Nothobranchius furzeri: one gene and its partner. The protein of the gene in region 1 interacts with the protein of each later gene in a biochemical or structural test. Links are inferred from orthologs where the notes say so. Each region holds a gene or a part of one and is shown in the gene's direction. Other genes may lie near its edges.

Region 1 (4,272 bases):
TCCGTCTGCAAACCTTTGGCTGCTGCCGTGAGCTGAAAGCTGAACTGACTGAAGGGGTTTTTGTGATTGCATCATGCAGTGAAACCATTGAGTTTGTCTTCTGTTTTTTCAAACCACACATAGTTCACCAAAGCCACGCTGGATCACAAGTCTGCTAACTTTCTCTAGCGAAGAAAACAGCAGCAGGTGTGGAAAAATGGTTTTACATTTGGACTCATTTGTATATTTTAGACTGAAAGTCTGTGAATCCAGCGAATCTACCGACAAAACCCATTCAACAACTAACAAATAACTTCCTTTTGGGTGCAAGAACACAGTCCTGTTTGCTCAAGAACCACTTCCTGATTACAAGAATGTATTCTTTCAGAAGGGGAATTAACAGAATATGGTGCGTATCACAGTTCTCAAAGGAAATGCATATTTAGATATTCACAACAAAAAAGTCATTTGCATGACAGAAACGTGGTATGTTCATATTTGCTTGGAGCTCGGAGTGCTTTTTCCACGGATTTTTAGCTTTTCTTTTCAAAATGAGCAAAAACAGTATTAAAGTATGATGAGACATGCACCGATGATTCAAATCATCCTGCCGCCACGCAGAGTCGAGTTTAAAACCAACGCAGGATCAAAAAAAAATCCTGTCAGCTCAACAGCAATTATCTAAACTCTAAAAAAGACTGCGCAGTCCCATGTATTATTCCAATAAACCACATGAAAAAGGAAAAAGTTGTATTTTATCTGGATTCACATCAGCTCAACACCCGGTGTGAGAGTTTTACCCCCCTGGAGAGTATTTTTTTCTCCTCGTCTTCCTCTTTTATCCCCTGTTTTCTTGTGAATGTAAACAGAATTAAAGCTGTTTGGCCTTCAAGGCAGAGCGCCACGATCAAACGCCGTGCACGATCAATGACTCTGAAAACATCTAACAACACTCATACATGTAGCTGTGTCACGCTGAAATGAAGACGTTCACTTCTGGAGCCGGTGGCCACATGTTCTCCCTCTCTTGATGGAAAGAGAGCGGGAAATCTAAACAGGGTGGGAAAACGTCGGAGCAGAGAGGCCGTGGCTAGAGTGGTCAGCGCCTTACGAACGTGGTTGAAATGCTTCAACGCAAGGTGCACCACTTCAGGTTTCACAAGAGTTTGATGTAAAGAAAAGCTGATTTTACTCTAGATCTCACATCTTTACATCCTTGATTCATCGCTTTGGTTTAAAGATGCTAATTAAATAAGACACTGCAGAAGTTTGCCTCCCTTTTCATAAGTCTGAAGGTTTTTCACACTTGAGTGAAGATCAGACAAGAGATGGCTTCCTGTTCTTGGTGGCGTAGCTGAAATGAAGCTTCCTGTCACTGAGACTCAAGGTGAAGGCAGGCTTCTGGGGGGGGGTGACATCACTGTTTCTGACTGGACTCAGAACCAGAAGCGAGGGTTTAGGGAACAAGTTCAGGAAGCTGCTCTGGCAGATAAGACAGAAAAACGCATGTAGTTTTAAATAAGGTCCACGTTTAGGCGTTAGGATTAGAGTTGGAAACAGGAGTTTTGCTCCAGTATCTGTGAGGTGGTCATCTCGAGGACTTTACCATCAAGTGTGTGTCCGCACACATCTCCCAGATATGGCGGGTCTCCGTGGTCCCCAGACTGTGCTGCTCTGGGTCATGGTCATCGGTTTGGCCAGCTGTAAGTAAAATGTTTCTTTATGGAAGGATTGTTCAGTGTTTTGTTCTAATGTAAAAAACAAAAAAGTTTTTAAAAACTTTATTTCATGCAACGCATTAAGGTGCTGACGCCTAACCTCCTAGCTCGTGCATCTGATGTTTTTGTTTGAGTGTGGGATTTGTCAGAAAAGGTGATTTTTTTATGTGAGATGGAGACATGAATCTGTCAGCAAACAAGCTTGACAATATCTTTTTTTTAATTTTTTTTAAGTGGAAAACATCACCGCTCACAAATGTAATCATTTAAACTGAGGGCAGAAATGACAAGCTACAGTATATCAAGCCTTTGACTTGCTGCTGCTTTTGTGCTGCTTCACGTTTCTTAAACTTTCCAAACCAAAGACACGGCAGACGGCACGCCGGCGCGTCTCTGATGTGAGAATCTGAGAAGTGACAGGTTTTATGAGACCCTTTGGCAAAAGAATCAACTCTTGTGTTCAATCAAAGAACGCCGTTAATAAGACGACGCTCCTAAAACACCTTTCATTCGCTACAAAGAGAAGGGAGCTTTTGCAATCATGTTTCTGTTCTGCTTTGACGTGTGTGTGTGTGTGTGTGTGTGTGTGTGTGTGTGTGTGTGTGTGTGTGTGTGTGTGTGTGTGTGTGTGTGTGTGTGTGTGTGTGTGTGTGTGTGTGTGTGTGTGTGTGTGTGTGTGTGTGTGTGTGTAGGATGAAGAGGCATGTCTATCTAAGATGAGAGGATTTTATGGGGTGTGTCCCTGCAACCCCTAGTCATTGTGGGTGTTGAATCAAGATAAGCATCTCTCTCTGTGTGTGTGTGTGTGTGTGTGTGTGTGTGTGTGTGTGTGTGTGTGTGTGTGTGTGTGTGTGTGTGTGTGTGTGTGTGTGTTGCTTCTAGCATCACTCGGTGTTCTGCTATAAGCACGTTAATCTTCCTGTCTTTATCTCGACTCCGGGTCCATGTTACTCTTGTATTTCTAACGACCTGTACAGGTTTTATTTGTCAGGTGACTCCTTTTGTCGTTTGCATACATTTTATTATAAATACTAACATATCGGGCACCATTTCTAAAGGATACACACACTTCAGTTTTTGTTTGTGCTTTCTCTGCCTTAGCTGGAGCTAAATTGGCCTAATGAACTGAGTTAATAAAAATAGTTTTTGCTCTGCTTTCTTTTCTTTCATCTCATCCTTTCATGCTTTTACAGCGGTTTGAGGCCTCCTGTGTTTCAATGCCCCCAGCAAAAGTGCGCCATTCCTCTGCATCTTGCTGCTGCAGGACAGAGTCGTGACCACTTCCGTGTTCCATTCTGAGCCGCCTTCATTTCCTGTCGAGAGCTGAGTCGAGCAGCTCGCAACAAACGCCACAAATGACTCGAGATTTCATGACAAAAATTAGGAACTGCTTAAAATGAAGAACTGAGGTCAGTGTGATTAAAGCAGGAGTGGGGGCGACGATAATGAATGAGGATGAAATAAGGCGGCATGCCAACTCCATCCTGATGCTGAGAGGCTCAAACATGTGTTACTCAGAGATTTTAGCAAAATGTCAGGTTAAAAAAAGACAAGTAGTCAGGAGTGTAGTGGTGGAGTTTTAATCCAAGGCTCAGTTTTTGTTTTGTTCTTCATCTTCCTGCTTCTGCCTCCGCCTTAACAAGCCCGCCTAAACGTGTGAACATCACACCTTCATTTCACACTTTGCCCCGATGACGGTGAAGACAGAAGTACCTGAAAGATGACAAAAAAAACATCAAACTACCTCCCTAAAAACACTTCTAACTGGTTTGGCTTTTTGCTAATTAAATATATAAGAAATTCAACAAAAAGTCTAAAAAGAAGAGAGACCAGATTCTGTCACCTTTACAGTGTTTTACATCGTGGTGCATCAGTGATGAAGCTGTTTCTATAAATCAATAAGAGTAAAGGAGCAAACATGTTCAGCGAACACCTGCAGCAAGTTAAACATTTAATAACTTTACCTATTAGTGCTTAATTAGCTCATTTAAAGAAGGATAAATATTCTTCAATTACTTTAATTGCTGGTGCCTTTTTCTACAGCTCCATTTAACCCTCCCACTGTCCTAATGGGTGTGACCCCGCGAGGAAAGTTGTCCATTGAGCAGGGTTGATGGTTCATCCCTTGGGTCCACGTGGCGGGGTGAGGAGTGAACACCACCTCACCCCTGCCACGTGGACCTCAAGGGATAAACCATCAATCCTGCTCAATGGACAACTTTCCTCGCGGGGTCACACCCATTAGGACAGTGGGAGGGTTAAACCTATAATCTACATGAATAATTAGAAATTGGTGAATTTAATGTTGATCATCAAAAATACAGATTAGAGGCTTTTCTCTCAAGTAAAGATAAAACTACAAACATGAGCAATTTCTTAGCTTGTTCAGTCCGATAAATTTTTTTGTAGTTTGTTTAAATTATGAAAAATAAACTATTAATTCTCTGATTATTTATCTTTATTGGGTGTATTTAGGCGTAGCGCTGCATCAGTAATTCATGTTCATAAACATTTATGTATTTTGATTATTCATGCTAAACACAGGAAAAGGTTTCACACACAGAGTGTGACTGTC
Region 2 (3,650 bases), on another chromosome or scaffold:
TTTCCTTTCTGAACAATTTCTGTTGAGTTTTAATGTTTAAAATCTGTTAGATTGTTACTGTCAGCAGCTACATTTAAGCTTCACTTCCTGTTCTGACTGAACGCTGCTGCAGCATGGAGGTGTAGTTCTCAGTCATCCTGGACATGATCATCCTGAGAGTTGTAGCTGAAAACAGCTGGACGTTTCTGGATATGTTGGAGACATTTAGCCTCATCCCAGAGGCTTCTTCCAGACTTTGGTTGTGGTCAGAAACAAACACACTGGTTGTGCTGCAAGTCTTTTTCTTTTTTCTCCAAAACATGTTTCTGTCTAAATGAAGGTGATGTTATCGTTCATAGAATTAAAATTCATGTTGAAGTTAAGATTATTTCAACAAGTAGGACCTGTGGTTAGCTGGCTCATGTAAAGCATGTCATGTCTTGAAAGAATCGGAAGCGGGAATCGATAAGAACCGGAACCGAAAAGAGGAATTGGAATCGGAATCGTTCAAAATCAAACAATGCCCAACCCTACTGCTGGGGTTGTAGGGACTAAGAAGATCACCAATGTATGATGGTGCTTGTCCATGTAAGGCCTTAAAGACCAGAACCAGGATCTTAAAATGAACCCTGAAGTTGCTTAACAGCCAGTGAAGCTGGAGGAGAAGCGGGGTGATGAGGGTGTGTTTGGAGGACTTGGTCAGAAGCCGAGCACAGGCATTCTGAACCACCTGTAGACGGTTCAGGGAGGTTCTGCTCAGACACGTGAAAAGAGAGTTACAGTAGTCTAAGCGTGAGGAGATGAAGGTGTGGAGAACTGTCTCAAGTTCAGAGCGAGACAGAATGGGACTCAGCTTAGCAATGTTCCTGAGATGGAAGAAGGAAGAGCGAACAAGAGAACTGACATGAGAATCAAGGGTGAGAGCTGGGTCAAAGGTCACACCAAGATTCCTGACAGAAAGTTTGGTGTGAGAAGCAAGCTGACCAAGAGTGTCTCTGACTTTGGGAACCAGCTTGTCTGGGGCACAGATGAGGATCTCAGTCTTATCTTCATTCAGCTGAAGAAAGCTCCCAGCCATCCAGGTTTTGATAGAGTCCAAGCAGGTGTGTAACAGCTGCAGCTTAGACCTCTCATGGGGTTTGAAGGAGATGTACAGTTGGATGTCATCTGCGTGAAGATGGTAGGAGATTCCTTTGAAGGAGCTCAGGATGTGCTGAAGAGGAAGCAGATAGAGGAGGAAGAGCAGAGGTCCCAGCACAGAACCTTGTGGGACACCATGGGTAAGAGAGGTGGTGGAGGACCTAAACTTGGAGACGGCCACAGAGAAGGAGCACCCAGAAAGATGAGAGAACCACTCCAGAGCAGTTCCTGATAGGCCTACCCAGTATCTCAGCCTCTCCAGTAGCAGGTGATGGTCAACAGTGTCAAAGGCTGCAGTCAGGTCCAACAGGACCAGAACAGAACAGTCCCCTTTAAAGGTGTGTTTCACTGAAAAACATTTTTTAATGATTATTTCTGATTATAATCAATCACTCTGAGTTTTTCATGCAGGCTGAACATGAAAATAGTCCCCTACACATATCTTCTGCATTAGCTTCTTACAAAAATAAACAGTGAAAATCTAGGATTTGAAAAGCCCGACAGATCTACGTCACACTGTCACTGAACATTCATGGACTCACCCAGCCTGACTCATGATGGGAAAGGCTGTTGTTAAAGGAAACAGCAGAAAGCGCCTTGGCTAGTAGGAGCAACTTCACCACATAGCAGAACTCCTCCAGGCTTGTGTTATTTGTGGTGATAAAACATCAACGTTGCAGAGCAGAGTCAATGGTAGTGTCACTTTTCTGTTAGCCAATCAGATGTGAGTTGTCCATATATCAGGAAATAAGACTCCAAATCCTGCCGTCTGAAGCTCTGATCTGGCAATCTTGATCCTGAGACAGGAGCACCAGGCGTTTTTGTAGCCAGAGTACAACTTACAAGGCATACATTCCTTTTAGAGACATCTGCAAATGTTTTGATTAAATGACAGGAAAACCTCTTCAACTATCTACAACTCAAAAGGAAGTCAATTCTGTTTCTGTGACACAAAGCCTTTGGCTGAGCTTTCCAACAAGCTTATCTGTGATATTTAAATGTCATATGGGGGCACATGGAAATGTGGTTACTGTACATTCTGAAAACTTCATTTGACTATCTCTGTGCTAAAAAACGGTCATGCTGAATATGCAAATCATGATGCATCTAGATGCTGCAAAAATTTGATTAATTAGCCTTAAAGGCCGATGTGGAGTCAAAAATGAAACAAGGCTATTATTGAAAATGGAAAGATGAATATTTCTGAAGGATAACTGAACTCGAAGTGCCAGAATTCCTTGCAGGAATGTGTACCACCCAGCGTTTTTCATGCCAGAGTTTAAACTGAGATCATGTTGAACGCAATGTTCAGTCTCATGTGATATTGCAAAACTCTCTGTGGTCTGTTAGCACTTAATCTCTGGTACGGATGATACTTAGTTAAGAAAACATTTTAGATGTTAGATCGGTTTCTTTAAATTTGACCAAACTCCAACAAGAAGGACCAAAGCAAACCAAGAAATTCAAATTGATTAATTTGTGTGTGTGTGAAACAAGCTGGACAGGTGATGGAGGGTGGTCAGAGACAGAAGGGGACATGTCACAGTGAGCTGAGGAAAAGAGGTCCACTGCTGGCACCCAGTATCCTACATATTTAATGATAAACACAAGGCTTTTAGCAGGAAAATACTCAAAACATTTCAGTGATGTGAGAGATCAAAGTTGTCTAAATTTGGTCAGAGCATAGGCGCGTGTGTGTGTTTGTGTGTGTGTGATGTTTTTCTAATAATCTATGCATAAGCGAACACGTCTTCTGGGAGGTAAAATAAAAACATAAGTGGTTCTAATATAGTAGCACACCAACATAAAGCTCTATAGTTCATGGTTCATGTGGACAAGTCTGTGCAAACTCAAACAGTAAAACTAAATGTGTACTTTGAGTGTTAATGGCACATATTATGTAAAGTGATCACAACTGGAGAAGGAAAGGCTAAAATGCAAATTACAATCAAGTCTGACTTTTAAACAAAATAAGGAACTTGCTTCTATGTGTAGCTTTATAATGAAGAAACAAGCAGGTTGAAATCCTTTGGTATCAGGCTGTTTTTGTTTTCACCTACATTTTAAGTGATTCACAAAAAGAGTCTGTTTTATGAGATGTATTCATTGACTCCATGACTTCCAGATGGTTCCATGGGAAGATAACACGAGATCAGGCAGAGAGACTGCTTCACCCTCCTGAAACGGGCCTGTTCTTGGTGCGAGAAAGCACCAACTTTCCCGGCGACTACACCCTGTGTGTGAGCTGCGATGGTAAGGTGGAGCACTATCGCATCATCTACCACAACGGCAAGCTCACCATCGACGAGGATGGCTATTTTGAGAACCTTATGCAGCTGGTTGAGGTGAGACATAAGTTTTAAGTTTAAACTCATTAATTGAACCGCATTTATATGTAGCATGCAGTGTGGAACTGTGTAGAACATTTCAGGGCTCTACTCTGGGTGTAGAGCCGCAGCATAATGCTACCAATTTAGAGACGATGTGCAGTTCCTGGAACATTTGATCAACAGGAAGTGCCAAAGAGGAAG

What was found. The genes of interacting proteins can lie anywhere in the genome.
Region 2: of the proteins of ptprc (region 1) and tyrosine-protein kinase CSK, one has a biochemical effect on the other in vitro, tested with the Homo sapiens proteins (2 studies listed by IntAct). The link is inferred for Nothobranchius furzeri from reciprocal best matches to the Homo sapiens genes PTPRC and CSK.

The regions. Positions count from the first base shown.
Region 1 is NC_091748.1:66,700,111-66,704,382, forward strand, and holds the start of ptprc (receptor-type tyrosine-protein phosphatase C), read left to right. Parts: upstream 1-1,442; 5' UTR 1,443-1,618; coding exon 1,619-1,682; intron 1,683-4,272. UniProt on the Homo sapiens protein: Protein tyrosine-protein phosphatase required for T-cell activation through the antigen receptor. Acts as a positive regulator of T-cell coactivation upon binding to DPP4.
Region 2 is NC_091744.1:58,974,214-58,977,863, reverse strand, and holds part of tyrosine-protein kinase CSK, read left to right. Parts: intron 1-3,244; coding exon 3,245-3,464; intron 3,465-3,650. UniProt on the Homo sapiens protein: Non-receptor tyrosine-protein kinase that plays an important role in the regulation of cell growth, differentiation, migration and immune response.